3 linked regions of the Alligator mississippiensis genome follow. The protein of the gene in region 2 interacts with the protein of the main gene of each other region in a biochemical or structural test. Links are inferred from orthologs where the notes say so. Each region holds a gene or a part of one and is shown on either strand. Other genes may lie near its edges. The genes, in order: CAPN2, ATXN3 and RAD23A.

Region 1 (9,918 bases), on a different chromosome or scaffold from region 2:
CAGTTTGTCTTCTGCAACGGAATTTGTCTGCTGACTATTTAGTATATCTTAAATTTTGCTTTGGAAGATTTTCCATACCACTGCAGTGACCTTTCTTTTACAACCCAGTTTCAAAAGGCCTCTAGGGGTTTGATCTCTCGGAATGTTTGCTTAAGGGTCATTTTTCTCTGGTCCTTAGGATAACTTGTTAAAGGCCTCTAAAGATAAGATCGAGGAGCCAAGACTTTAAGCACCTTCGTTGTAAGGCCAGGTAAAACAATGAACCTAGATAAGAAGATGAACCTCACCTTTTTCTAAACTGGCTAATGGGCAACTATTACAAGCATTACATTCAATATGACAGAGGTGTACAGGGCTATCTTCTAAATATTGTGCCCTTCCACCTTAGGGTTCTCAAGAGATGCCTCCACACAGATTCCCTCTGGAGGGAGCAACTTGGTTGGGTTGATCCCATGGGGGATCTCTGCAATTTCTCAGTATATAAGAGCTCACACTTCCCTCTGAACTGTCACTGGATTTTTGGCTGCAACAGAGACAGGAACCTGATGAGATGAACTTTCCTCTGGAAGATGAAGCAGGTGGTACATTGTATAAAAGACCAAGCAGATCACGGCAGGAACCCTTCCCCAGCACACATGTACCAGCAGTCAGGAGCCCTAGCAGCCGCACTGGTATGTCTCAAGTCCAGGTGCTTCCTTCCCACCACAGCTTTTGGGCACTTGTACATGTGATGCCATTACCATGTACACACAACAAAAATGTTACTTTGTGTGGCTTGTCACACTGTACACGTGCAGGAGTTTTGAGGGTTTTAAATGAGTTTGCATCATTGCAAACTAAACTACACCCTGATGTTGTTTAGTTTGCCATGATGTGTTGCAGCTATTAGTCAGCTTGCTACCAGCTGCGGGAGAGACAGGCAGACTCTGCCAAAAAAAAAGGATTAGGCCCCTCACTGCTTCTGCCTTCAGCAGGCACCTGGGCTGCCTGGGCAGGCTATGAGCAGGACAGGTGCTGTCCCAGCTCAGGGTCAGGGAACAGTGTGATTGGGCTGGGTACAGCCTCCGAGCTGGGGCAGCCTGCTAGCAGCCTGCCCAGGCAGCCCCAGGGGGCACTGCCACTGTGGAGGGGTGGACCAGGGCCCCCTGCAGCTCATGGGCCACTCGGCCTACCAGCAGCTCTCCCCCTGGCTGCAGGGATGCTCTGCCAAAAAAAAAAAAGGTTCAGGCCCCTTGCCGTAACAGTGACGGAAACCCTTAAATTGAAATGGTGGGTTTCAGTTAAAAACCCACCATTTCAATGTAGGGGGCATAGAATGCAACCCTAAGGACTAAACCCCCCTATATGTACAAGTGTCCTTTGTGTGTAGGGAGCTCAATACCTTCAATGACATCGCTCCCACAGTGTTCAAAGGAATCAGTAATAGCAGCTGGGAGTCTGCACATTGCATGAGCAGGGCAGCTCAGGCAGCCTATTCTTATCAGGGAGGGACAGTAATCTAGCCAGGCCTACCCATCTCTGCACCAACAGCAACAGCAAGGAGTCACTGCAGCAGCCTGGCTCAAGCCAGCTGTTATGCCAGGGCAGCTTTCCAAAGGAACTGCCTGGTACAGCAGAATACCTCGTGCTAGCCTCGTGGGAGACTGAGAGACCGGCCTCTTTGAATTTAATTCCACTGCTTTTCTTATTCTACAAATAAAAATCCACTATGACTGTTTTTTTGGGCCCTGGTTACAGACTAGCTGTACCTGTACAGTTGTCCTGTCAAGCTTCTTTGGTAACTTCCATGAGTTACTCCCTCCTCTGGGGAATGTTGGCAGCTCAGCTGGCCAGCAGTGGTGCTACGGCCTGGAAAAAATGAATCTGCACAAGCTTTCAATTGGGAAAAATAACTCTGGAATTTGGTGACCTCTCCCCTCCCTTCTATGCTCCAACTCATCTTTCAGGCAGGCGGGGGCAGGAAACCCTGAGCTCCACCTCACTAGCAGCTGGGCTGGGTATTGTGAAGTCCTTTTTTATAAGCCTGACCCCACAAACCAGCTTAATTCTGATTTGAATTGAAGGAATAACAATGGATCTGAAGCAAACCAAATTTCATTAATGCTGTCACTCTCTAAACTATGTGAGTCATTCAAACAAACTGCCCCTTTCTGGGAGGGTTGTATTGCTTTTACTGTCCCTCTTCCATGCGTTTTCTTAGTTGCAGCTGCCGCTATAGACACTGGAGGCCAGGGCAGTGATATGAAACTTCCCTTGGCTCCCACAGAGGCTTTGCCCAACCAAAGTCTACTTTCCTGGACCCTATGTATGTGGTAAGATTCAGGTTCAAGAGTGAAGGAATAAGTGTGAACAGCTGATAACACTTAAATGCGAGATCTGTACATGAGGAAAGCAGGGACAAAGTGAGATGGAATGGGTTTTATTGGTTGGCTTGTTAATTTTTTCCCCTGAACGACAAAAGAAACCTTTTGAAAGAGCCAGGGTTTTATTCTAGTGCCACCACCCTGTACTCACCCACGCAGCTCTCCTTCTAAATGGAATGTTACATTCGCTGCACCCACCAGGGTTTGTGATTCAGGCTGCAGAAGGGGTGAACAAAGCAGTCCTTGAAGGGTGGATCTGCTTAAAGACAGGTGAGGGCTGGAGTCTTTTACTGTTGTTCTTCACAAGACTGATTTCTGTGTGCAACCTCCACCATCAATATGATTGCACAGGGTGCACAGAAGTGAGCCCATAGCACTGATAAGTGCTGCACAAAGTGGGGTATACAAACCCCCAATATAGTAATAAACAGCTTGTGAGGGACCTGAGAGTGGTTGTTCAGAGAAGGACAGTAGCTATGATACCTACTGCCTGAACATCGTCTTTATGTTGATGTAATACTTCTCTATTGGGCCCCATTGCCCTGCTTCAACCAGTTTGTATCCTGCGTCAGGAGTGCCCTGTGGAAGGCCAGGAACCTCCTGTTGCACAGGCAAATGGATGTAGAGGTAGCAGGCTGCGTGAAAATGGCTCTGAGCGAACTCTAGACCTACTACCAGAAATCGGTAGTAGAGGATGGAGAAGACGCTGCCAAAGTCACCTGGCACAGAGACATGTGGCACAGGGTCATCCAACATCCCCCGAGTGGAGAAGGGGGCGGTGGCAGCAAAGAAGAGGAAGGGAGAAGCGGAACAGAGGACAGTGACCACAGCAGCGGGTCCTCTAGCAGGAGCTGGAGTGACAGCAAGAGAGAAGACACTTGAACTGAGTATGTGACCCTGCAAGAGGGGCAGGGATGGAAAGGAAGTGTTGCCTGGTCTGAGGGACCAGGATATGCTTTTTGTTTGGCGTGTGTTGCGCATGATGTGGATATTGTAACGGGTTCAGGTGGCCAGTGGGCCTTTGTACGGGTGCATGAGCGCGTTTTTTTGTAACTTGTGAAGGTTTTTTTTTCTTTTTGCGGTGTGATATGCGGAGTGTAGATATATATAATCTTAGAGAGAGGGAGAGGAAGAGAGAGAGAGAGAGATTTTTACAAAAAACAAACTTCTCTATTGGGTGCAAGAAGGCAGTTTTCCTGAGCCACTTGGCAGGAGAGATGCTCTTCTGGCTGATTCAGTACCCACCGAGGTGCAGCAGCTTTAAGCCCAGCATATGGAAATGGCAGTCTCCTCCCTTGCTTGCTCCCAGGACCTTATGGCTGAGGGCAAGCAAAACTTGAAGGTATCTGAACCCCAAGCCTCCGGGCTTGGGCCTGCATGTAGGATGCCCACCAAAGGTTTAGGAAACATCTGAAGCCTCAGGTGCAGGTGGAGGATATTTGCCGGTAGTAGGGTCATTTATGGTTCGACTCTTGGATTTGGAATTAGTTTTGGCTAATTTGGCCTTGGATACAAATTACATTTAAAAAAAATACTTCTCTATTGGGTATGCTGGGCTTGCTTGTGATTTAGCAAACTTTCCACATGACCTGGCAGCACAAGCACCCAATGGCTTGAGAGCCAGAACAGCAGAGGGCCTTCATTCATTGCATTACAGTATGTTGGAGAAGAGCGCAGAGCACTGACTGGGTTAGGATCCATGAATCAAAGCTTCAGCTGTTGGCTCCACCACAGACTTTGTATAATTTTGGGCAAAGCACATTAATGTCTCTTTGCCTTAGTTGTCTTACCTGTAAAATGTAGATCCTTCCTCCATCTTCTCTATTTAGATTTTAGGCTTTCCAGGGTAAGGACTATTCTGTACAGTGATTGGCACAATGGGATTGTGATCTTTAGGCAATAATGTAATTAACAATAATAGAGGTAATTGCAAATATCTTGTCATCTGGGACTGCAGGAAAGACAACAGAACAATGCATTATTTGTGGGGGCAGGGTGGAGAGACGGGAGAGGGATTATGCATGCTATTTGCATAGTAAACATTCAGTTTGCTGTTTTTCCTGGGTATTCTGTAGAGCATTGGTAGAAAAGATTCAAGGCTCCCTTCAAACATTTCGTACCCTGTCAGGAGGAAAGATCTTACATTTAATTAATGATCCTCCAGTTCCATTGATGCTTCAGTTCCCAAGGAGCCCAAGGTAAAATACCAAATACAGGAATGGCCCATTCCTTTTCAAGTGCAAACTTGTTCAGAGTAAAATGCAGAAAACAAAGGCTTCATATTCCATACAATCTGCATATACATCACATTTAGCATGTATCAGGGATGTCAGACTCACTTGACTCCCAGGCTGGTTTTTGAACTGTAGGGCTCCTCATGGGCTGGATCCAGGCTTACCTCTGGTGGTAGGGCAAGCAGCAGTGGCATTAGCCACTACAGGTTCCTGAGCCACATACACTCATTGTTTGCCCCTCCACTGCTGATAGATGTCCCCATTAGGACACTATGCTCCAGACTTTGGCGGTGGGCCCCACCTCACCTCCTTATTTCTGGCCCCTACAAGAGCCCCACAGGCTAGATGATATGGTTTCATGAGCCTGTTCTGGCCTATGTGCCATACCTTTGACACCCCTGGTCTTGACCATGAAGGCTTGTGTGTTGGTGCTAAAGTCCTTGGTTTTATTCCTGCTGACAACTCATGCCATTGTTCATGAATACGTGATGCACCATAGGGGATTTGAGCTGCTGAGGACTTCAGAATAAGTTTCCCTAGCAGTCAAAGTGTGCCTCGCAGTGGCTAAATGTGTTGTCCCCCCCTCTGACAAGCTGGCACACAGGGGCAAATTAAGAGCCTATGGCTGCTCTTCCTGACAACTAAGTCAAATGGCAGAGGTCCATGCTTTGGAGCAAAAATACCCCAGGATCTGTTCCACAGAGTGGGGATTATTATATTGGCTCGTGTAAGCTCCCTCTTTAAGGGAATGAACCTTTCTAAACCAGACAAGCTGCTTAAGAGGCTATGGTTGGGAGCGTCCCAATGAGGAGGATTCTGCCTTGCAAGATACACTGCTGGAAACAATAGACTCATCCGGGCACCCTGCCACTGACTCAAATCACAAGAGGGGCACCAGGAAGAAGCTGCATCTTTAAGCACTAGCCACGCCTGCTTTCACTGTTGGGTTTTTTTTGTTTCTCTCCGATGAATCACGCCCTGGTCTGGCTCCACACACTGCTGCTGCTGCTGTTTGCTTTAGGTCTCAGATGTCCCTCTGCTGAGCAGCAGGAAGGCTCGCATTTTTATGTTACCCGCAGAAGCAGCAGCAGCAGCAGAAGGCAAACATGTCTGGTATTGCAGCTAAATTAGCCAAGGACAGAGAAACAGCAAGGGGCTTAGGCTCCAATGAAAAAGCCATTAAATACCTCAATCAGGACTTTGAGACTCTGAGGAAGGAGTGCCTTGAGGCTGGGAAACTCTTCCAAGATCCATCCTTCCTTGCAGCTGCCTCCTCTCTGGGGTACAAAGAACTGGGACCAAATTCATACAAAACTCAGGGCATCGTATGGAAGAGACCAACGGTAGGATAATGGGCCCTGTGGGGAGGGAGAAAGGGAGATCAAAGGTGAACACCAAGTGATACAGTTACTGTATGTGCTTGCTTGGCTGAAAGCGGGGAGGTTGCAGTGATCACAGTGGGAATTGCTGTGGGTGGAGAAGTCAGGTATAATGGACCAAATTGGGCAGGACTGTGTGGAAATAACTCAATGCATTGGAGAATCCAACCTAAGTCTTCAATCTTGTCTCTCTCCCTAGTGATGGGCCACACCCAAACCAACCTCTGGCATAGAACTACCCCAGGCTTGGGTCTGGATCTACATTTATTATCTTGGGCCCATTTTTAGCAGGATAAGTACTAAATCAAACCTGACTGAGTGATAGAAAATGTTGTCCTGAAACAGAGGCTGAGAGTTCCCTTGTCTTGAAGGGCCCCCAGATAAATAGCAGTACTTGATTGTGTGCCATGTGCAGCTATCGCTGGAGGAGAAATACAACTTCTCTAAACTGCGGCACGCCACAGTGAAAACCTAGCTATTGATTGCGAATGTTTCCAAGAAAGTACAGTACTGACTTCTGCAGTAGGAATGTGCTGCCAGAGGACCCAGGGAGGCACTTGAGAGGTGTGTGGTGCTGTCACACAGCCAGGACTTGAGCCTGGAGATGTAGGAAATTAGGAACTCCATGATGTATAGAAACAGGCTAATCTCAGACGCCTCAGAGGTTTTGTTCGGATTTCTCCAATGCTCTTTGTTATAGAAACCTAGTTGGAAAGTTGGTAGGAAATTTGGGACTCTTAGGACTTAAATACTGAGGCACAAAAATGAAAATGAAGATTCAGTGGATTTTTTCGAATTGTAGCAAGATTCAGTTCAGTCTGAGCGAGCACCTAATTTACTTCTGAAGGAGATTTAAGTCAGAGCAATTGCTGAAGTCAGTGGAGCTACATGGGTAAAATTGATGCGAGTGGAGAATCACTCACAAACTTCTTATTTTAGTCGACTGCTTTGCTCATCCTGAGCTCAATACAAGTAAACATTTTTTTCCCTGTAAACTGGAAGCCAGTAGTTGAAGCCAGCCAGTTATGTTTATTTTCAGTGCAAGTATTCCAGGAAGTGAAAGGCATGTAAGAAAAACCACATTCATTTTTCTCTGTGCGCCCTCAGTGCTTTCCTATATATATAGCGTTGCATGTGCACACACATCTAGTGCAGGGACTTATACTCTTCTAGTGCCAGCCGGCTGTTTTGGGATGTGAGTCGATCCATTTGTCCACATTTCCTTCTTGACTATAATTTGTTTGGATACAGCTGGTGTAAGTAGGTATGAATCTGTGCCCAGCTCTTGCAAATTATCCCTGCCCTGAGCACCAAGCTCTGCACTCCCATAGGTCTCTTGTAAAATATACCTGTCAGGTTTTAGAAGTGCTGCAACGGGCTTTGCCCTTCTCAGAACTTGTACTTTTCCTGTGCCCCGAGCACTCGGGGTTGCTTGTGCCACCCTCCATTTTCTAAGTCACCATGATTTCAATTCAGTTTTCCCAGTCACACTGCCTTCTCCACCCCAACTTTTGAGCTATGCTTCCCTCTGCTTTTACTAATATAGAAAGGCAGCTGGGCAAACCCCCACCCCTTGCAAATCTTCCCCCAACAAAAAAACACCACAACCTAGTAGTACCCCGTCCCACCATGTTCAGCGCTCCTCCTCTGCATTTGAATAAAGCTGTGTACATTTGAATAAAGCTGTTCTAAGTGTCAGTCAGAATTCTGTGCCTTTGCAAAGGCCCTGATTTAGCCTTTGCATAACACATTTTAAACTCAAAAGAATTGCAAACAGGAAGGAATTTGGTCCAAAGACCATTGAAACAAGTCCAAGAACAAATGGAAAAATCTTCAGAGGCAGGAGCCCGATAACTAGAAAATGCAGTCAAAAGGCACTTTTGTGACAGGGCTGGTAGCCTAGGGCATTGGCGAATTCTATTTCTTCAGGAAGGAAAAGAATAAACTTCACCTGCTGTTTTGCCTTACAGCCTAAAATTCCCGGATAAACGTGTTTGCTTTGGTACAGGTCACAACCCATGCAGGCATTACATTTCTACCAGGAAAATCTTAGCTGTCCTGGTAGAAACCATGAGCATATAGGCATTCACAGAGTTTCTCCCAAAACAAAAATGGTGTTTCCAGGAGAAAAAATAATCCATCTCTGATTCTGTAGAGGTCACTCCTGGGAGGATTTCTCCCAGGGAATGAAAGCCTATACACTTCACTGCCACCTGACTCCTTCAGGGACCAGGAGGGACTGAGCAGTGAGGAAACACTTCCTACATCTAGACCAGGAAAGGCAAGGGAGCAGCTGGTGCCTGCCTCCTCCTAGTCCAAGGAGTAGTCAAGTAGTGGGGAAAGGCTCCCTGCTTTCCCTACACCAGGGTTACTGGGAGGGGAGGAACAGCTGCTGCTTTCTCCCTACCAGCTCTCTCTCACCAGGGTCCCGGTGTGAGGTGTGGGCATGGGACTTTGCCCCATTGCTCCAGTACCCCTGGGAGCAAGAGAACTGGAGCAGTCATTGCTCCCTATGCTTTCCCCAGACTGGGATCACCCTGGTCTAAGGAAGGTGAAGAGACAGGGGAGAGGGGATGGTTGCAGGCTAGATACCTGTACTGCTCCCTCTCCCGGAAACATTTCTAGCCGTGGAAAATTTCCACCACTAGAAATGAATGCCCATTCATTTCACAGTTATAATGCGTCACCTTAGAAAACTGCTTTCCTTAGCAAAGTAGGGAGTGCAAACATGGGGAGTGATTTGTGCAACGTACTACTCAGTCTCCATACCTGGTGATATAAACAGCCTGTTCCTTTCAAGCTTCCTCCAAATACCCATTAAGATACTAGAAGTGTTAACTCAGTTGTAAGTCATTCCAAAGTGCATAGAAGTCCCTTGCAATTAACTCCATTGGGGTCTTTCAGATGTGGTATTGAAAACCAAAGGGTAGGTTAATTTGTTCACACACGTGTCTATGTATATGGATTGATAGAGATTAGCAATCACATGGCACCCTTGGTGAAAACCTGTTGACATAATGGCCCTTCCCTACTGTGTGGTGTCAGTACCATTCTCTGTTCTTGATCTCCTTCATTTCTCTGATGTTGCCTTCCTTTAGTGGTTTTGTTGTATTGTAATGGAAATCACCACAACACTTGGTGGCCACATATATGGATACAGTAGGATTATCTGCAAGGAGAAAGATAATGAAAGCCCCCAGTGTAGGTACAAAGCCTGTCTATTTATTAAATGCTTTATTTATTTCACTTATAGGAGCTGTGCTCTAATCCTCAGTTCATTGTTGGAGGTGCCACCCGCACAGATATCTGCCAGGGAGCCTTAGGTAAGACACATTATGTTCAGGTTTCAGTTGAGGCTACCGTAGATGACCAAGTACTGCATTGCACCATCTCATATTGAATTCTTAAATTATTGTCTAATTCTCTCTTTTGCTGCCTACTCTCCTTTCCTTTTCCCATCTCTCTTCATATCACATCACTAAAGGTCCTATAAAAGATGCTCCAGACCATGAAAGCTGCTCCAGATGAGGACTGTGTCTTCCTTTTCTGTTGTACACAATACCACTGAATGAATTAACCTCTGCTAAATTTCTGCCACAGTTCTTGTAGTGGGCTCATCACTGTTGTGTCTGAACACCTTCCAGCAGTGCCTCAAGCAAGGTGAAGAACATCTGTCGTGCGTGGTTTTTTTCTCTCCTCTACTCCCCAGGTGGAATTATATGTGCAGTGAAGTGTTTTGGGTTTCTTAACCAGTGGGTTACTGTACAACTGGAAAAGAGTCATTTTGCTAAGCAGGCACAGTCCATAAAAACGAAGAAAAACGAGTTACAATAGCATACACAACATTGCTGAACAGGCCTTTGTTTAGATAAAAAATCAGATAAGGGGCTGTCTGTCCATTGCTTCTGACATGTTAGGGACTGGCTCATTCTAGTTGTGCCT
Region 2 (9,390 bases):
CCTGTGTCACCCCAGCACACTGTCTTTGCCCACTGGGATCAGGCTGTGAGGTTTTGTGCTACCCCCACCTAGCCCCACATGCCAGGATCAAGCCCTGCACCACTGTGCCTAAACTAGCATGCAGCACCACAACCCACAGATGGGTGGGTATTCCTACAGGCCAGATGATACAATGCCAAGGGCTGGATCTGGCTCATGGGCCAGAGGTTTGGGGGGGGGGGGGGGGGGGCACAGCCAGGCCGCAACTTTTCCAGCCTCCTACTCCCCCTCCTACTAACCCAACTCCCCCACCCCACACACACCTAGAACAGGGATAGATGTCTGGCTTGGCTCGCCAGCCCCCTAGCATTAGGGGTGAGCAAAATATGGCATGTGGACCAGATCTGATTGGATCTGGCCTGCGGGTGGGCCCCTGTCAATTGACTGTATCTGGCTTGGCGGTCCCCACAGCACTCTGAATGGGGCCAGGCTCTGCCCGAGGTAGTGCCGCCACGCTCCCACCCATGCCTGCCAGGCACCACCGCTCCAGCACACAGCTTCTCAGCGCTGCTCTTGGTGCAGCTGCAACCACCTGAATACTGCTCAGTACCCCTGGTCTCTAGCAGCAGCTCTTCTTCCTCCTCGTCCATGTTGTGCCATTCTGTGAAGCAGGGGTAGGAGGTGACTGGAGACACACGCCAAGCCAGGAGATGCCCAGCCGGGATAGGGGGGCTGCAGCCAGGTGGCTCCTGCCCCAGCATGCGAGGTCCCGATCCCAGCTCCAGGCCACCTTCCATCCATTCAGCCACCCACAGGTGACTGTGGGACTGTGGCAGACTGTCATGGGCGGGGCTCAACCCCATGTGGGTGCAGCAGCAGGCCAGATTGGAGGGGGGGCAGCGCTGACTGCACTTGTACCTGCCCCTCACCTGGGTGAGCTGTGCTGCACATGCCCCCTTCCATCTTTTTCCAGTACCTAGTATGCAGGCAGCTGCCCACACATGTCCACACGCTCCCCACAGCATACAATAGTAAGACTTTATTTTGAGCTATTATACAATTACCTCTATATATGGTACTCAAAACATAAATCAGGACAGAAAATCTTTTTTGAGATAAAGTTTTAGTAGATGTTTGGATTTTAATATAGGATTTTAAATAAATTATAGATTTTAAAAAACAAAAATATCTGAAAGATTTTGTGTGCAGCCCTCAATAGCTCACCAAAACTCATTAAGTGGCTCACCAGCCAAAGTAATTGTCCACTCCTGCTCTAGCAGCAACTTATAGCTGTAGTTTCTAATCAGGCTCCTGCTTACTGCCCCTTTTGTGGCAAGTCACAGTTGTGCAAGTTCAGAACAGTCAGAGAAGATTTTAGCCTAAATATGTAACTTATAAAAACTCGAGTTAACATTGATGCTGATTGACTTCTGAATGTAGAATGAATACAACCAAAAATCTAACTAAGACTGGGGACACACCTCTTGGAGGACAATCACTCCCTCCCCAAACTCTCAGTTCTAATTCTCAAAGGGAACTTACAAAACACTGTCCGTAGACGAGCCTATGAACTTCACTTTATGACTCTACTGGAAACAAAAAATCATGGACTCAAAATAGACATTGGTTTTATGACACGTTACAATCTATCCGACATCCGATTCACCAGGTACCTGCCTGACCTGACCTCTTACATTCTTCTTTTCCCCCACCTTTTCTCCTCTCCTTTTCCATACTTTTCTGTTCTTTATCTTCCTGATTTCCATATATTTCCTCTCATTGATGCCTCTTTTTCACCTTGTATTATTGCCTCTGTATGTTCCCTTTAGCCTTTTTTCCTTCCTTAGCTTCCTTCCTCCTCCCTTCCCTACTTTACCTTTTTTCTAATTTCTACCTATTTATATTTTCACTGACATCCTGTCACATTTCTAGCTTCTCTCAGTTCTGTTTTCCTAATCTCCAGCTATTCCCTTTTTCACAGACAGCCTCTTTTCTACCTTGTATTCTATCAGTATAATGTCTCCCTTCTCTTTCCCCTGCCTTCTTCCCCCTCCCTCCTCTGCCTTACCTTTTGTCTTTCTAATTTCTACCTATTTACATTCTCACCGACATCCTGCCACACTTAACTTCTCTCATTCCATGGAGTCTAAGACCAGCAGAGACTCCCTATGCCTGAAGAAGGGTGACTGTGCCTGAAAGCTTGGCTAAGGACTTCCCCCCCCCCTCCCCCCACTACTCAGTTGGGGTAATAAAAGATATCACATCTACTAAAATACCTTGCCGATAGACATTTTGAGAAGCTTGAAGTATAATATGTAACAAAGCCCATTTATCTTCAAATAAATTGGGATAGGACTAAAAGGAGGGATGGACAGCACAAAAGTATGGTTCAGATAAGGCAAGGTTCTTTGAGTAGATGTGGTATCTTTCATTAGACCAACTAAATAGTTGGAAAAAAGGTCTTTGTAAGCTTTCAGGCACAAGCACCCTTCTTCAGGCATTGGGAGACTGCTCTGCTTCCGAGATCTCCAAGGCAGGAAAGAAGCCAAAAGTGCTACAAGACATCTGTGGAAATGTAAATAGGTGGAAGTTAGGAAGACAATTGGTAGAGATAAGACAGGGAAAGAATGCAGACGGTAAGCTCAGGCAGGTACCTGGTGAATCAGATGTCAGGCAGGTTGTAATACGTCACAAGTCCAATGTTTATATTAAGTCCATGAATTTTGTATCCATTAGACTTACAAAGTGAAGTTTTGGGCTCATCTATGAAAGATGTTTTGCAAGTTTCTTTTGAGGATTAGCAAAGAAAACTTACAAAACACCTTTTGTAGATGAGCCTACGAACTTCCTAGTCACTGAAGGCTGCTATTCCCTCCATATTAAACACTAAAGCTAACTTCCTGTTACAAGCAAAAGGTTTAATTTTTTTCCCCCTCAGTTTCCTTGCCTCTTGACTCACCCTTTATGTCACAAAAGCTCACATAAAATAAGTTACCTTAGAGCAAGGGTGGCCCATGAGCCAGATCTGGCCCTTGGCATTGTATCATCTGGCCTGTGGGAATACCCACCCATCTGTGGGTTGTAGTGCTACATGCTAGTTTAGGCACAGTGGTGCAGGGCTTGATCCTGGCATATGGGGCTAGGTGGGGGTAGCACAAAACCTCACAGCCTGATCCCAGTGGGCAAAGACAGTGTGCTGGGGTGACACAGGACCCAATCTGTGGGACCTGTGGGGCCAGGCTGGAAAGGCCCCTGCTACACCAGCCCCACGGGCTGGGGGAAGTAGCTGCAGCACCCCCCTGCGACTGCAAGACCTCCAGTGCGCCACTGAGGAAGCATTTATTCGAGTCCCACCAGAACAGGCTGGGCGAGACCCCATGAAGGCCAGCCCAACGCCCTGCTCGAGACGGAGCGGGGGTGCCTGTACCAACACCGTCTGCGCTCGCGGGCCTGGGCCCCGGCCTCTCTACGACATCTGGCGAGAGGCTCCCTCGCACTAAGAGGCCCGCCCTGCCCTGCCCGTCACCTGACGCAGGGTCCCGCCCGTGCCCGCTCCCCACCCCGCTCTTACCGGCGCGGAACGCCCGCCCCCGACCGAACCGCTCCCGCCCGCTCACCCTCTCGTGGAAGATGGACTCCATGTTTATTTGTCTCGAGCCAGCGGCCTCCGCCTCACGTGACAGCGGCCCAGCCAATCGAATAGCGTTTCACCAGCAGCCAATCGCCGCAGCAGTCCCGCTTCCTTCCCTGCCCTCAACGCGGCCACGTGGCTCTCGCCCCGCCCAATAACATCTCGACAGGCAGATCATGTCTGCGGCAGCTGGGCCGGCTGGGGAGGAACGTGCTTCCGGAGTAGCGTCACTGCCGCCGGCGCGGGCTCCCTCTGCAGGCCGGGAGGATCCAGACGCTGGCGCGGGGAAGGGAGGGCTGCACGGGCGCGGCCGGCTAGCGCAGCAGTGGCGCCCGCTGCCGGTTGCGGAGCGCTGGGTATCCTGGTCCGGTTCCGCCAGCCCGGGGATCGGTAGGTCTGGCCGAAGGGGTGAATTAGGAAATACATTTCCCAGCGCTTCTTGAGCTGCACGCGGGGCATTCAGGCACAAAGACGATGGCATTTTCACTAGGATCTACACAAACCTCTCCCCCGGGCACAACAGGCAAGGGGAAGGAGTAGGGAGTTATTTCTAAGCAACAGGCCATGTCTGACAATAATACTGAAAACAGGAATGAGTGAAAGAGAAGACACGGGAGAAGGGAGGAGAAGGTGTATCTCACCAAATTTAACCTCATTCATTCTCCCAGAGGCTGGTACACGAGACAGAGTGGCCAGGCAAAGACCACTGCTCCCCATCATTGTCATATCCAAACACTGAAATCCCAGACTGATGACATGGCAGCATCATTAGTTGCTCCATCCATGCTGTTTAGCTGGCTGATGTTTCCAGCTTAAAGAAAAATAAGCGTGTCTCACTCTTGGATGCTTCAGTTGGGCTTTGCCTTCTTTCTCAATCATTTGAGGTCCCTCTGGGGCTGAAGGGCCCAAGTCCTGAGCTAGGAACAGGAAGGCTGGCAGTTTAAGTCTGGTTGTAGGAAAGTGATCTTAAGTCTCAATTTATGGGCTGGGGCACATGACTTCTGAAGAGAGGCTGAGGGAGCTGGGCTTATTTAGTCTGGAGAAGAGAAGACTGAAGGGGCATTTAATAGCAGCCTTCAACTACCTGAAGGGCTCGAAAAAGGATGGAGCTGGACTGTTCTCAGTGGTGGCAGATGACAGAACAAGTAGCAATGGTGTCAAGTTGCAGCAAGGGAAGTTTAGGTTAGATTTAGGAAATATCACTATATCATTCACTAGGAGGGTACTAAAACATTGGAACAAGTGACCCAGAGAGGTGGTAGAAGGGCCATCCTTGGAGATTTTCAAAACCCAGCTAAGCAAAGCTTTGGCTGGAAGGATAGTTGGGCAGGGGGCTGGACTAGATAGCTCTGAGCAGGGGGCTGGACTAGATGACCTCCTGAGGTTCCCTCCAACCCTAATTTTCTACGATTCTATGTTGAGCTGTCACTTTCACCTCTCCCAAATGGACTTCTAGCAGACTCTACTTTTGACTGCCATCTTGTTTCTCAGTTTCTGGGATGAAATAAAAAACTGGGAAGTTCTATTTATACTACCTGATGACTAAAAATAAACCCTTCCATTAGCTCTTTCCATAACATCCTTCTAAATTCAAAACCACTAGGATTTTGTTGCAAGTTAATACTTGTATCAACAACTGGCAAAACTTTCAGGGCATGGGCACGGGCACCTAGAAACACCGCCCCCCCCTCCCAAACAGGAACTTTTTAGAGGACTCAGCATTGCTCTGAGGCACTGAACCAACATACAGATTGGAAGAAAGTTATAAGGTTTTAGGGTCTGACCTTTTCCTGTTCTGCAGAAGAGTCCCCATAACAAGAAATGCCACAGCAAGGAAAATGAGAATTGCCAGAGCTGGTCACACCAAAGGTCACTGATAGGAGACAGGACACTGATCTAAATGAACAAGCAGTAGTTCTCAGCATTTATAGACTTAACACACCCCTAGGAAAATGCCAGCTCTTAGCTTTCACTCATTTGTTACTACAGAAGATATAGTAATTCTCCTGTTGGAAAGAACTTGTAATGTTTTTACTACTGTGGATTCCTATTCAAAGTCTCTGGACTTAGCTTGTGATTCATGTCCATACACCCACCACTGCTAACTTTGCCACAGCACCCTGGTTGAGAATCACTGCTTTAGAGGGAGAAGATATTTAGAAAATGAATTCAAGGCTGCATCATACAAATTCCATATCACAAAAGGTAGAATTAAAAATCTGGATCCTTTGTGACAGCTGGAAATTATGTCTGTGTGATAAAGGTGCTTGCTGAAGGCTCTATGAAGATTAGACCGAGTGTTTTTCTGTATTTGTTTAGATATTAAGACAGCACTGTTGTGGAGGAGGTTTTGCCAATGAGCACCAACAGAGTGCACCTCAGCCCTGTTGGCCTTGGAGCCAGGGGCAGTAGATCACCCGGTAAGAGATGTGATCCGGCGATTAGTGCAGCTTTTACCCATTTTGCAGAAGCCAGGGCTGGCTAAGCCAACAAAAACTGCCAAGGCCATGGTGGTGGCCTCAGCAAAAGACAAACCCCCTGATCCCCCCAAATGGTTGGAAAAAGCTGGAGAGGGCCGGCCCAAGACTCCACGAGCGAAATTGTGGAAAGACTTGTTAGCTGCCAGTTTTAATAAAGTGCAAATTGATGGAGTGCCCACCAATGTTTTGGAAGGGCTGTGGGCTAAACACTGCAGTGAAAAAAGCAAGCCAAAAAGCAGAGCCATCTGCACCACCAGCAGGGTCACCAGAGGGATTCTCTGCCCTGAGGGCAGAACTCTTGACATTTTCCCAGGCACATGCAGGACTGCTAGCCTTTACACCCCCTAATTATGTGGCTTAGGAAGCCCGGCCGACCCAAGCCCCAATGAAAGGGGCCACAACGGGGGCAATAGTGGGCCGGGGACCGGTATCTAAAGTTAATATTGGCCCCTTGATTAAGATACCTGTACAGATTCAATTAGGTAAAAGTAAAAAGTCCATTGATATGCTATTAGACATGGGTGCCCAGATTTGAATTTTAGATTCTGCAGATTGGAAGGGGGAGAAAGGAACCCCTTATCAAGTAATTGGAGTTGGAGGCACCAGACGACCAGGACATCTGGTCCAAGCAACCTTCGCGTTACCTAATGACTCTAAGGTAACAGCAGCAGCAGTGATACTTAAGGGGGGACCAAGCTTACTGGGACTTAGTGTACTAAGAGAACAGCGGTTTGCCCTTGAACAAAAGAATTGGCAGTTTGGGTGCGCAGTGCCTCACTGAGAAACAGAAGAAACAGCTATAACAGCTGTAACTCGATGTAACATGATCCCACTAACTCTGCCTCCCATGAAAGGAGTACACAGACCCCAGTATCGAACTCCCTCCGAGGCCACCAAACCTAGCCAGTGTATCATAAGTCAGCAGTTAGAAGACGAAACTATTATCCAAAACCACTCCATATAACAATCCAGCATGGCCAGTGCACAAGCCAAATGGAGGGTGGTGACTGACTATTGACTTTCGAGCTTTGAATGCTAATACTGACCCCTTGATGGCTGTCGTCCTGTCACTACCAGCCTTGACAGAAAGCATCCAGTGTTATGGACCTGCGTGGATGGGATCCGTTGATATCAAAGACATGTTTTTTGCTATTCCCATCCAGGAGAGCCACTGGCCAGTATTTGCTTTCATGTGGATAGGGCAGCAGTATACCTACACCGTGTTGCCCCAGGGGTGGATACACAGCCCCACCCTGGCTCATGGGGTTTTAGCTACAATAGTTCATGAAGTCCAAGAAAATATAGATGATATCATAGTAGGCAGTCAAGACAGAGAGGCTGCCACCAAGGCCTTTGAATCATTAAAAGAGAAAGTGCTTACCTTTGAATTCACGCTGTCTGAACAGAAAATCCAAAAAGTAGGGTCCCAGTGTGAATTTCTAGGAATAGAATGGCAGAATGGGGGGCCCACAATACCAACTGAGGAGCTGCGAAATATAGTGGAGACCCCAACTCCCACTAACGTGAAAGAACTGCAAGCCACTCAATTTTTGGCATATGCATGTTCCTGAGTTTAGCGTATTAGCTCGTCCCTTGTATAACCTATGTAAGAAGAGAACTAAATGGGAATGGGGTCCTAAGCATAAATATGCCTTACAAGCCCTTAAAGAAGCAGTAACTGTTCATGCCTCCCTAGCAGCACGACGTCCCGAAGGAGAGCTTTGGCTCCATATAGGCGTCTCAGAAGGAGGACCACACTGGAGCCTGTGGCAGGAGTCCTCGGAAACAGAAGGAAAACCCCTTGGATTTTGGAGCCGAGGCTGGAGAGGGGCGGAAGCAAGGTATACTCTCTTAGAACAGAGGTTGTGTGAAGCAACAGCGGCCCTGGAAGCCACAGAAGCACTGACAGGAGAGTTACCCACAGTTATCACTACTCTGATACCTATTCTCGGAATGGCTCTGTCAGACTTCCAGCTACCACCTGGGGGGAGAGCCCAAAACACCACAGTCCAAAGGTGGATTTATTACATTTTGAGCCAGGTCCAACGAGTAACCCCAAAGGGATGCCCTGCATTAGTTGAAAGAGTCACAGAAAGTACAATTAATGTTTATCCTGATCAAACAAGCTGCAGTGAACCTTCACCCATCAAAAAAGCACCTCCTTTCTCACCTGAAATGGAGACCTCAGCCAATGTTAAAGTCTAGTTTACAGATAGGTCTGCTCGAGGTCATGCCTGGAGAGCAGCTGCCTTGAGGATTCGAGATGGCAAGAAAGTAGTATTACAAGGCCTCGGAAAAAGCGCGCGCAGTATGCCGAGCTCCAAGCAGTGCTCGGCATGGCTGTGCGGGAATTAGTAGAAGGTCCATGTCCTAGAAGGCCCATTTATATTTATAGTGACTCCTGGATGGTAGTAGAAGGATGTACCAAGTGGTTACCCCTATGGAACAAAGAGAATTTTAAAAGACGAGGACAAGACATTTGGAGCCATGAGGAGTGGAAGGCCTTATGGGAGTTAGCCCAAGATTAGCTTCCTCTATGCATCCAACATGTGAGTGCAGCACATGGAAGTAAGGCAGGAGAAGGCCTGGAGGCAAAGTGGAATAGACGAGTTGATCAGCTAACAAAAGAAGAGAGCACTGAAACCTTGTATGTTGAAGAAAAAAAAATAAAGCAGCTAGTCCATCATTGCCCAATTCCTTCTCCCACTGTATACCTGGGGAACGAGCCGCAGAATGGCTACATCGACAACATGGGACTCCCCAGGCATGATGGAACCGCCCGCCTGGGCGTGTCTTGGGGCATTCATGTAACTAAAAAAGAAGCACAAGAAATAGTCAACACGTGCATCATTTGCCGCGAGGTCAAAATGAGACTAAAACTCTGCCTGACTGTCCCGTTGTCATTAAATGAAGGAAAGGTAGTGTGGCAGGTATGGCAATGTGATTTCATAGGGCCCCTCCCTCGGACTTCCCAAAAGTGACAGTATGTGTTTGTAGCTGTAGAAGTTGCCACAGGAATAATGTTTGCCTGTGCCTCAGCGAGAGCCCAGGACACTTGTGCAGCACAGGAAACTCTGCTAGCTGTGTATCCACCACCTACAGAACTACAGAGCGATAATGGCCCGCACTTCCACAATCATCTCGTGTATGACTGGACTGCGAAACATAGCGTGTTATGGACATATCACATCCCATACCATCCGCAGTCTAACGGATTGGTAGAGTGAGCCAATGGCATCCTCAAATGGAATTTGCAGTTGGCCGCTGGCCCGGCTCTTAAAGACTGGGACTTGCACCTGG
Region 3 (9,919 bases), on a different chromosome or scaffold from region 2:
TCCCGCAGGAACTCCAGGGGGTTCTCACCTGGGGAGTGGGTGTGGTCAAGCTAAGCTACACCCCCAAAGGGGCAGGGTCCCAGAGCCCCTCTCCCCCATGCAGGGCTCACCCACCTTCAGATGTCGGTGGCTCTGGGGCCTGGCTCTCCTGGATGGGTGCTCGCTCCAGGTCAGGGCTGCCCGGAATGCCCTGTGGGGCCCAGTGGCAGAGGTTGGAACCCAGACATCCTGGCTGCCAGCTCTACCCCCTCCCAAATCCATTGGAGAAAACCCAGGAGTTCTGGTCCTTTTCTACTCAGGGCTACAGCCAGACCCCTGGTGTTCCCCACACCCAGCACTTCCCTGCATTTGCCCACAGGAGAGAACCCAGCTGTCCTGGCTCCCAGGTTCCACTCCCCATTCCAGGCCACCCCTCTGCTCCCCTTCCCAAAACTAGGGATAAGAGAACCCAGGTATCCTTGCTCCCTGCCCCCTACTCCCAGCACTACCCACTCCTCCCCAAAGCTAGGGATAGAACGCACGCATCCTGGCTCCTGGGTCCTCACCCCCAGCTCCTACCCACCCCTCCCTCCCCGGAGCTAGGGATAAGCCACAGCAGTCATGGTGACTTTCATGTCCCCCTCTGCTCTGATCCTTCATCCCTGCTCCCCTCCATAGAGCTGAAGCAGAACCCAGCTGTCCTGGCACCCAGGGGAGGGGCTCACCACGAGCAGGTACTCTACAGCACGGTGAGGATTGTTGTAGCTGGCTCGGAGTGCAGCCACCACCTGCTCTCGCTCGTAGCCCATTGACATGATCTCGGCCAGCATTGTCTCGTACTCTGAGCCAGTCACTGGGGAGTGAGGGTGCGGTGTCAGGGGTGTCTTGGCTGAGCCAAACCCCCCTCCTTCTTTACTACGGGGAACCCTCCCTGCTGGAGAAGAACTGCAGAAAGGATTGGAGAACCCAGGAGTACAAGCTCCTGGCTCCATGCCCCCTCCTCCACCCCAGACTGCTGCCCCTCACCCCTACCCTGGGAATCCCAGCCCTTTTCTAGTGGGAAGTGGGGAAAGCCGCCTTCACCTACCCAGGGTGGAGGCTGCATCCTCGCCGCACCCGGCGCTACCTGAAGAGGGAACAGAGCTGCAGATTTAAGAGAGAGAAATAGTAGCCGGGTCCAGGATGATCTGTTCCCCGGGGTAAGTTCTTCGAGACCCCCCCCCCCCCCATCCCCTCTGGCTGAGCTCCTGGGCTCCTGCTGCAGAAGGACCTCCTGGTGGGGAGGGGTGAAGAGTAAAGGCACCACCGCCTCCCCAGGAAGTCCCTGCACCTGCCTCAGTTTCCCTAACTGCAGCCTCCACAGAGGGACCTGGGCCCCCAGCACCATGGGGGAAACCATAAGGGGTTAAACTCTCCCAACAACCCTCCCAAAACTGCCTTGTTAACACAAGGTCATTCTCCTTCTTGGGGAGGGGGACTGCCACAATGTGAAAACCAAGACAGACAACAGTGAAGCTGCTTGCACGCAGCCGGGCTGCAGAGAGGCAAGAACAGAACCCAAGAGTCTGGAGCCCCACTCCTTCAAACTCAGGGATGCCTGGCTCTGGCCGCCAACCCACCATGGCAGAGTTGCATCCATATAGGGGGTGTCTTACCCCACAGTAGACTCCGGGGGGTTGGTCACCACTGGCTCCTGGGAGGGCTTCTCGCTGGGTGCTGCTGGGGGGGCTGAGGCAGCTGCAGGTGCTGTAGGGGGCTGCTCAGCCAGGAGGGGCTGGGAGGGCTCTGCAGAAGGGGGGATGGGGGCCCCTGAGCCAGACTTGGCCTACAGAACAAGCAGCAGAGTGGGGCAGCTGGAACCACTCCAGCCCCCTGCACTCCCCCCTCCCATTTCAAGCAGCAGCCAACCCCTCCAACCCCCAGTGGTAGCGCAGACTCTGCCCACTAATGCTCCCAGCAGCACAGCACCCCCTAATGCCAGCCCAGGGAATCAAGGCAGGACCCCAGGGGCTTCTTGCACCCATCTGTGCTTCCCAGGCTGGATGCTGGTGAGAAATGGGTCTGGGGGTGTCAGGTGGGGGACACACCCACCTTGGTAACCATGACGACCACAAAGTTCTTCTCATCGATCTTATATTCCCTGATGGGCGCATCATCGCTCAGGATCTTCCCAGCGTAGATCAGCTTTTGCCCAGCCACGGGGAAAGCTTCCCGACCCTTCTCCGCCTCAATCTTCTCCTTCAGCACCCGCACCTGCCATTGCAGCCTCCATCACCCAGGGATCCAACCCAGAGACCACCCCCCCCCCCCACAATCTGCAGCCCCCCAGCCTGCACCTTGCAATGCAATGCCCCCTAGTGCCACCAGGCCAAGATGCAGCCACCTCTAGGGTGGAAAGGAAGGCAGAAAAGCTCTTTGAAGCCTGTTAACCATGTTGCCAGTGGCAGGAGGGGGAAGCACACACTTAATGGCTAGGGGAGGTCCCTGACAAACGGACCCCATTCTTCCCATATTCAGTCTTTCTAGAGGCCAATCCACAGGCCTGGACACCCAGCATGGCACACCTTCAGGCCAAAGGTGCTGCCCCCCACCCCCATCCGAGAGAGGGGAGTAGAACAGCTGCAGCCCATCCCATACCCCGTCAGCCGTGGGCAGGGTCCAGCAATATTTTTGGCTTCTCCTGCCCTGGAGGGAGCCAAAATTAAGCCTGATGCTGCCAGGGAGCTGTGGAGGATGCCAGCTATTTGAAGAGGGAATTGGCATCACCCCAGCCCCAGCTGCACCCTGAGGCCAAGGACTCAGGCAATGGTGACAGGCCTTGAGACAGTGAAGGTGCAGAGTTGTTACTCACAGCCTAAGATAGGGGGAATCTTCCCTGGGTTTGGGATGCAGCCACCTCTGGGGTGGACCACACTGAGAAGTGGGTATACAGCAGTGGCAATATGTAAGGGGGTGCACATGCACTCTTGTCAGGCTGCACTCCCTGTTTAGGCGACAGGCAAGGGGGTATGCAGGAGCACCAGTGCCCCCCCTGCGAGTGCCAGCTGAGGAACGGGGCCACCAGCAAAAGCAGGGGCGCAGCTTCCAGAAGTGGCACAACTGCTCTTTGGCGAGTGAGATTGGCCGCAGGGGGGACCCCCCCACATCGCTAACTAGCATCGGGGGGGGGGGCATGTGATCCCCAGTGATCCGAGGCACCAGTTGTTCATGGTATACAGGGCCCCCCACTCCTCTCACACCAAGATAGAGTTGGTTCTGGGGAGGGGGACACGTATCAAGGGCTGGGTATACAGATTCCCCTCCCCCCCCACTGAGATACAGCTGCTTCTGGGGTGGTGCAGCTACACAACTCTGCATGGAGATAGCATGCTCAGGGCCAAGACGCAGCCACCTCTGAGCTGGGATGCTGGAGGGAGGCAGGACACTGGGGCATCATCTTGCCCCCTCCCTGCACCTGGAGGCCATGGGGGAGACCTATAGGAGCTGTATCGGGGGACGGCAGCAGAGCCCGGACCACGAGGGGGCGCTGGGGGGCAGCGCCTGGCCACGCCTGCTTAAAAGGCAGAGAGACCGGACCTTAGACTGCACCACGGGGTGGGGGAGACCCACACTATTCCTCCCTTCAGCTCCAACCATGCCATTGCACCCCCGCAGCGAGGTGGAGCCGTGCCATTCTACTGCCTCCCAGCGTGGACTGTACCACTCCGTCCTTCCCACTGGGCTTGAACCGTTCTATCCCTCCCCGCTTAGACCACCATCCCCATCCCCCCTCGCGGGCTCGGACCGTACCATCTCGCCCCGCGCGCCCCTCACCGTTTCGTCGGGCTCCATACGGATCTTGAACGTCTGCTGCTGCAGCGTCTTCAGGGTGATAGTCACCGCCATGGCGGCGGCGGCCGGGCCGGGCTGAGGCTCGGGCGGCTCTTTCCAACGTATACAGCAGCCCCGACAACATGCAACTCACGCCGCTGCCATTTTACTGCCCCGCGGCTTCCGGCTCCCACGCGCAGCAGCCCCAGCACGTGACACGAGGCAACCGGAAGTGATGTGCGCTAGGCGAAAAAACGCCTTGCTGGCGGTCACGTGCTAAGGGAGGTGGCTGCGGGGAGCGGGTCATATGACGAAGCATAGGTTATGTGTAGGGGCCCCGGCCCTAAAGTGGTCATATGACAGAGGGGCATAAAATGGCAGCCCTAATGGGCTAACATGGCGGGGGTGGGCTGGCCCGGTCGCAGGCGGAGCCAAGCCTAGGGGAATGCAAGACTCTGCTCCCTTGAGAGGATCACTGGCTTCCTATCCTCAGGGACCCCCACAGCTCCTGCTGCAGCAAGCCTGACCTCCCTTCTGGCCCCCCTGGCAGAGCAGGCAGAGGAAGGACACAAAGACAAGCACCTGGGTTAGACACAGAGTTAATTTAATAGAAATTTTCTTCAGTCCTCAATACATTCAAGTGTGACCAGAGCCCTCAAACACTCACCCACCCCCAGGTGCAGTTCCAGTAGTAGGAACAAGCCTGGCCCTGCAGTCTTCTGCTCCCCACCCCCCTCCCCACAGCTCTGCATCCTCACCCAGGAGATTCTCTTTACATTCTACCCTGCAGTGCCCCCCCCCCCCCCATTACCTAAAAGGCCTGTGCAGTTCCCTAGGGACTCCAGCCACCTGTTACAGAAAAAGGTGCTTTGGACCCCCAGATGCAACAGGCTGTTATGCAGGCTACCCATTAGGGATATGGCACAGCTCAGAGGCCGGCTGAAAGTAGGTGCCACTTCTGGGCCGGCTTTGGGGATGAAAGAGGGAGCAGGCAGCTGCAGCCCTGCTGTAGAGACCCAGCAGCTTTGGGCTGGGAAGAGAAACTCCTGCAGGATGGTGCTCCCCAACCCCCAGTATCAATCCCAACCCCCCACACTGCTTCCTCTTCCCATATTCTGAAAGCCTGCAGGGGGCTGGGGACAGTTTCTATTTGGAAGGAATAAAAAGGGAGTGGGGGGAGCAGGGGAGGTGCCTGGGAGAAGTAGAGATGCTGATTTCTAGCCTCCATGCCCTGCTTCGTAGAGAGAAGCTGCCAGAAGCCAGCCCACTGCTAATCCCTTGCAGCCAGTGCTATCAACAGGTGAACTCCTGGAAGTTAGACCCTGGATGCTGTTAGGGCCAAGGCCTAGCCCTCTCTATGCACAGGACCGGGGCTGATACTGGCAATGGGGGCATGTTTCAAAAAAAAAAAAAAAGGGGGGGGGAAAAAGAGGGGAAATGGGAATAAGGACAAAAAAAAAAAAAAAACAAACCCCAAAACAAAAACAGAAACAAAACAAAGACACCAATAAAAAAAAGAAAGTTCGGGTCTCATAGAGACATTACAGTATCCCCTTCCCACGGCTGCTGCAGGCGGGGGCAGCAACAGCTGCGTGCTCACAGCTCATCCTTCCCAGGCCCCTCTGTCTCCTCTTCATCCTCCTTTTCAGGCTCATCCTCGTCATCATCATCCTCATCCTCATCCTCGTCCCCCTCGGCCTCGCCCTCCTCCTCCTTCCGCTTCTTGTCCTCCTCCTCCTGTTTCTTGCGCTGTTCTTCATCCTGCTGCTCCTTCATCTTCTTCTCTGCATCCTAGAGAGTTTGGATGCAGCCATATTAGCAGGGGCAGGGAAGACAGGGCTACTGGCTGGGCATTCACTCCCAGCCTCTGCTACTTCCCACATCTCCCTGCCCTGGGGACAAGCAGAGCTGTGCCTCCAGGTCCAACGCCCAGATAGAGGTCACTATCACTGGGACCCAATTCAAGGGTCTGCTGTGGGGACCCTGGCCAGACTCCATGAGCACTAATAAAGTTACCTCTTCAAAGCACCTTGTGCCCTCAGCCCTTAGCAAGGGGCTGATTTGTCCCCCACCCCTATCACCCAAGAGAAATCTTGACTAGGAAAGTGCCAAGCAGAGGCCTGGAGTTCTGCTCCATACCCTGAGAAGGGGGCATGTCTACCCCCCCACAAGCCTCTGCCCACTAACTCCTGGGAGATAAGGGTAGTGCCATGACACTAACTCCCATACCTTGGTGGCCCCCCACGTCTCACTGCCAAACTCCTCTGCGAACTTCTCATCATCTGTGATCAGGAAGTTATCAAAAATGGTGCCAGACTTCACCTGGAGGGAATGGAGGAAGAGAGCAAGACCGTCACGGAGCAGCAGCGGGGCAGCTAGATCCCTTGAGGGGACTTGCTCTATGAGGGGGATCACCCAGCAGGGCCTGGAGGGGACTCAACTTCCCACACCACAGCCATTTCCCCACCCCACCTCCAGCCCCCAGGAGAGGTACCTGTTTTGGCTCCATGACCTATACCACCTCACTGCTCGAGTGCGCAGCAGAATCATTGAGACCCCAGCTACCATCCACCTGCCCCAGAAATCAGCCAGCCTCCCCCACCCTCAGTCTCTTAGAAAACACTGTTGCTCCCCACTCCCAGCCATCACACCTGCCACAGGTCAAGGCCAATAACTCCAAAGCTGTCATAGGCATATAGACTGGGATCAGGCGTGTACTCAGGGTTGTCGATCTCAGGGTGTACCCACTTGCCCTTGTAGTCAGGGTTGTCAATCTGGCGCGGCTTCCACTCCCCCTGTAGCGAGGCAGAGGGAAGGGAGTGAGCACCTGGCTCAGGTCATGGACGCTAGCACCACCACAGGGCCCAGGCCCCCACAATGGCAACCCCAGGGCCAATGGCAACCTGTGGGTTACACTCCCCCAGCAACAGGTGAGGCCACATCTAGAATCCTTTGTCCAGTTTTGGGTCCCCCACTATAGAAAGTATGTGGACAAGTTGGAGACAGTCCAGCGGAGGGCAATGAAAATAAGTCATGTGCCCTAGCACCCTCACCATGAGAATAGGCTGAGGGAACTGGGCTTATTTAGTCTGCAGAAAAGACAACTGAGGGGGGATTTGAACCTTCAGCTACCTGAAAGGTGGTTCCAAAGAGAATGGAGCTACACTGTTCTCAGTGGTAGCCAATGACAAAACAAGGAGCAATGCTCTCTAGTTGCAGTAAGGCAAGTTTAGATAAGATATGTAGCTGGGGCCTAGGGGCAGCAGGTCAGGAGCGAGGGGCACAGGGGTGGTACTGGTCAATGTTTATGAAATGGGTGCTGGTACAAAGAAAGGTTGAGAGCCGCTGGACTAGACAGCCTTCTGAAGTCCCTTCCAACCCTAATTTTCTAGGACAAGCAGGGGCTGCTGCAGAGACCAGCTCTCAGGACTGCTCATCTCTTTGGGTATGCAGCAGATTCCCAACCCTACATGGACCCAGGAGCAGCAAGCTCCAAGTTTATGAAGAGGGAACCTTTTTCTTGCTGAGGCCATAACTGACACTCCCAGCCAGGCAGCAGGACTCTGCAGGTGGTCTTATGGTACTCATGGCTTCTACAAGGATGTGTGGCACTGGCAGTCTAGTTATAGCTCTAGTATGGTACCCCTATCTCCCCCCTCACCCGACAAGGCCTGGGTATATATATAGCTTCCAGTACAGGCTGCAAGGAAAAGGGGATGGGAAGGCCTGGCCCACCTCACCTTGTACTCGGGGTTCTGGATAACCGGAGGCTCCCACTCGCCATCCATCTCCTCATCCCAGTCCTCAGGTTTCTTAGCATCAGGGTCAGGGATGTGCTCAGGCTTGTCCCAATCCTGGGAGTGAGAGTCCCGCACGAGTCAGACTCCCCCAGTGGGGCCTCACTGCGTGTTATCCTTCCCACCACCCAGCCCCAGCCAAGTCATTCCTGCCAGCCTGTGCCCACCTCAGGCTTGGTGTCTGTGGGGTCATCAATCTTGGCCCGTTCATCCCAGTCCTCAGGCTTCTTGGCCTCAGGGTCCTTGATCTTCTTGGGTGGCAGGAAGTCCCAGTCGTCCTCCAGGTTGCCCGATTCCACCTTGCCATTGTCTATTTTCACTTCATAGGTATTGTCGGGCCGGACAATGAGGGTGTACAGGTGGGTAAACTCGTCATCCTGCACAGGGAGGGGCCAGGTGAGCAGGGGCCAAGGCATCATGGAGGAAAGGGCATGGGAAGACACCCCCCCCCTTCTGGGTACTCACCTTGCAGCGTATGTCCTTGTTGATGAGCACATTCTTGCCCTTGTAGTTGAAGATCACATGGACTTTCTTGGTCCCAGGCCCACAAATGTCAGGACCTGAGGGACAAGGTGCCATTAGGAAGCATGGTGATGAGGAGGGCACCTGCGGCCAACCCCTTGCAGGAGCTGGGAGAACCTGCTCCAAGGTCATTACATCCAACCACCAAGGGCAGTGAGCTCAGGAAAGACCCACTTGAGCTAGTTCCCCTACAGGCCATTTCTCCCCCTCCCCTCAAACACACTGCTTGGTCCCCTGGGAGACCCCAATGCGCCCTGATCTGCTGGTCCCCTGGCCAGCATGGGAAAGAATTTGCATCTCCCCAAGGGCTCCCTGAAGCCTCATGTAGAGAAGATGCTGCATTCCCCCCTGTGGAGAAGCATGACACCAGCCCCTGGATGAGAAGGAAGGAAAGCCACTCCTAGCACGACCCTGACAACTGAAGCCACAGGAGAGTGGAACACCATGAACCTGGCTGGGCCCAAATGGACTCATGCCTTGCACCAGCTGCCCCTACCCCTCTGCTCACCAAACATGATGTTGTACTCAGAGTCTCCATGCATGTCCTCCTGACTCAGGCTGGCCGGGAAGAGTTTGACATAACCCCCACCACAGTCAATGTTCTGCTCGTGCTTCACTGTGAACTGCACCACCACCGTCTTGCCCCGGTTGCTGAAAGGCTCAAAGCGGGATGAGATGGCATAGAAGCGGGCGTCCTGGCTTGTCTGGATTCCTGCAGGGGAGTGGGGGAGGGTGCAATCAGGACCCCACCAAGGCAGAGCCCCAATGGAGGTGTGAAAGGACTGGCTCTGCCCATCTGCAGTGAGGGATGAGGCCTGCTACCTGGTCCTTAGGTCATGAGGCAGGTACCATGACTACCTGTGGGATCAAAGCTGCCGGGGGGGGGGCGGGGGGGGGGGGGGTGCAGTGACTGCTTCCCTGGAGAGAGTCCACAATGGGATGCAGCCCCACTGGGCAGCATGCAGCAGAGGGGACCCTGCAACTCACCCTAGCTGTGAGAACAGAGCAGAGATGCCAAGGGGTGGGCAAAAAGAGGACCCATAGACTGCCCCCTCCCTTCACCACCAGCAGGAAATGTGCCCACCTTTGTCTTTCTCGCTGTCCCCATAGAACTTGCCAGCCGTCAGCTTGAACTTCCCATAGTCAGATTTGTGCTTTGACTCCACCCAGCGGCTCGTCCAGGTATCTGGGAAGGGGAGATACAAGGTTTGGAGTTGAAACGGTGGGGGAAGGGGGCAGCAAAGAGGGCCTCCCTGCATCTCCGGACACAAGTAGGTTTGTGGTTAAACTGCCAGGTTAAGCTGCTAGGTTAAGCTACTTCCCACTGCAGATGACAAGAATGATGAGAGGAACAGGATACATACCCACCAGGTAAACTGAGGCAGAGGGAAGCTGTGACCTAGGATGGTTACAGTGCCATAGAACTCAGCAGTTCAGAGGCCAATGCCTTGCCCCAGCCACTGGACCCTGCTCCCACCCCTCACAATTGAGTCTCTGCCTTTATCTCAGCAGCGCTTGATGGAGATCCATGGTGATGGAGTCCCCTGCTACACAAATGCAGTCACCTCTGTGGCAATGGATACATAGCAGACACACACTGCCACCAAGTCCAGTCCCTTCTCCACACTGAGGGGAGACCATGTCTAAGCACATCTCCAGAAGGAGACATTTCAGCTGGAGGCCTGGGTCCCATTCTGTAGGTACAAAGTCTGCCATGGTACAGCACCCAGGCCTGCTATACAACCCACCTGGACCCAGGCCCTGCCCCCTCCCACCCAGGGCATGATGGGACAGTCAGGAGCTGCTGTGGC

Evidence for each region.
Region 1: of the proteins of ATXN3 (region 2) and CAPN2, one has a biochemical effect on the other in vitro, tested with the Homo sapiens proteins (2 studies listed by BioGRID). The link is inferred for Alligator mississippiensis from reciprocal best matches to the Homo sapiens genes ATXN3 and CAPN2.
Region 3: the proteins of ATXN3 (region 2) and RAD23A form a complex in vitro, tested with the Homo sapiens proteins (2 studies listed by BioGRID). The link is inferred for Alligator mississippiensis from reciprocal best matches to the Homo sapiens genes ATXN3 and RAD23A.

The regions. Positions count from the first base shown.
Region 1 is NC_081824.1:181,598,152-181,608,069, reverse strand, and holds the start of CAPN2 (calpain-2 catalytic subunit), read left to right. Parts: upstream 1-5,558; 5' UTR 5,559-5,703; coding exon 5,704-5,940; intron 5,941-9,229; coding exon 9,230-9,299; intron 9,300-9,918. UniProt on the Homo sapiens protein: Calcium-regulated non-lysosomal thiol-protease which catalyzes limited proteolysis of substrates involved in cytoskeletal remodeling and signal transduction. Proteolytically cleaves MYOC at 'Arg-226'.
Region 2 is NC_081825.1:275,333,041-275,342,430, forward strand, and holds the start of ATXN3 (ataxin-3), read right to left. Parts: upstream 3,696-9,390; 5' UTR 3,621-3,695; coding exon 3,597-3,620; exon of another isoform or gene 3,551-3,596; intron 1-3,550. UniProt on the Homo sapiens protein: Deubiquitinating enzyme involved in protein homeostasis maintenance, transcription, cytoskeleton regulation, myogenesis and degradation of misfolded chaperone substrates.
Region 3 is NC_081831.1:22,676,556-22,686,474, forward strand, and holds the start of RAD23A (UV excision repair protein RAD23 homolog A), read right to left. Parts: upstream 4,003-9,919; 5' UTR 3,865-4,002; coding exon 3,793-3,864; intron 2,233-3,792; coding exon 2,071-2,232; intron 1,805-2,070; coding exon 1,635-1,804; intron 1,123-1,634; coding exon 1,067-1,122; intron 833-1,066; coding exon 705-832; intron 191-704; coding exon 115-190; intron 29-114; coding exon 1-28. Other genes in the region: CALR (calreticulin), read right to left, coding at 5,386-5,580, 6,019-6,111, 6,441-6,584, 7,530-7,643, 7,754-7,963, 8,052-8,146, 8,617-8,820, 9,193-9,294. UniProt on the Homo sapiens protein: Multiubiquitin chain receptor involved in modulation of proteasomal degradation. Binds to 'Lys-48'-linked polyubiquitin chains in a length-dependent manner and with a lower affinity to 'Lys-63'-linked polyubiquitin chains.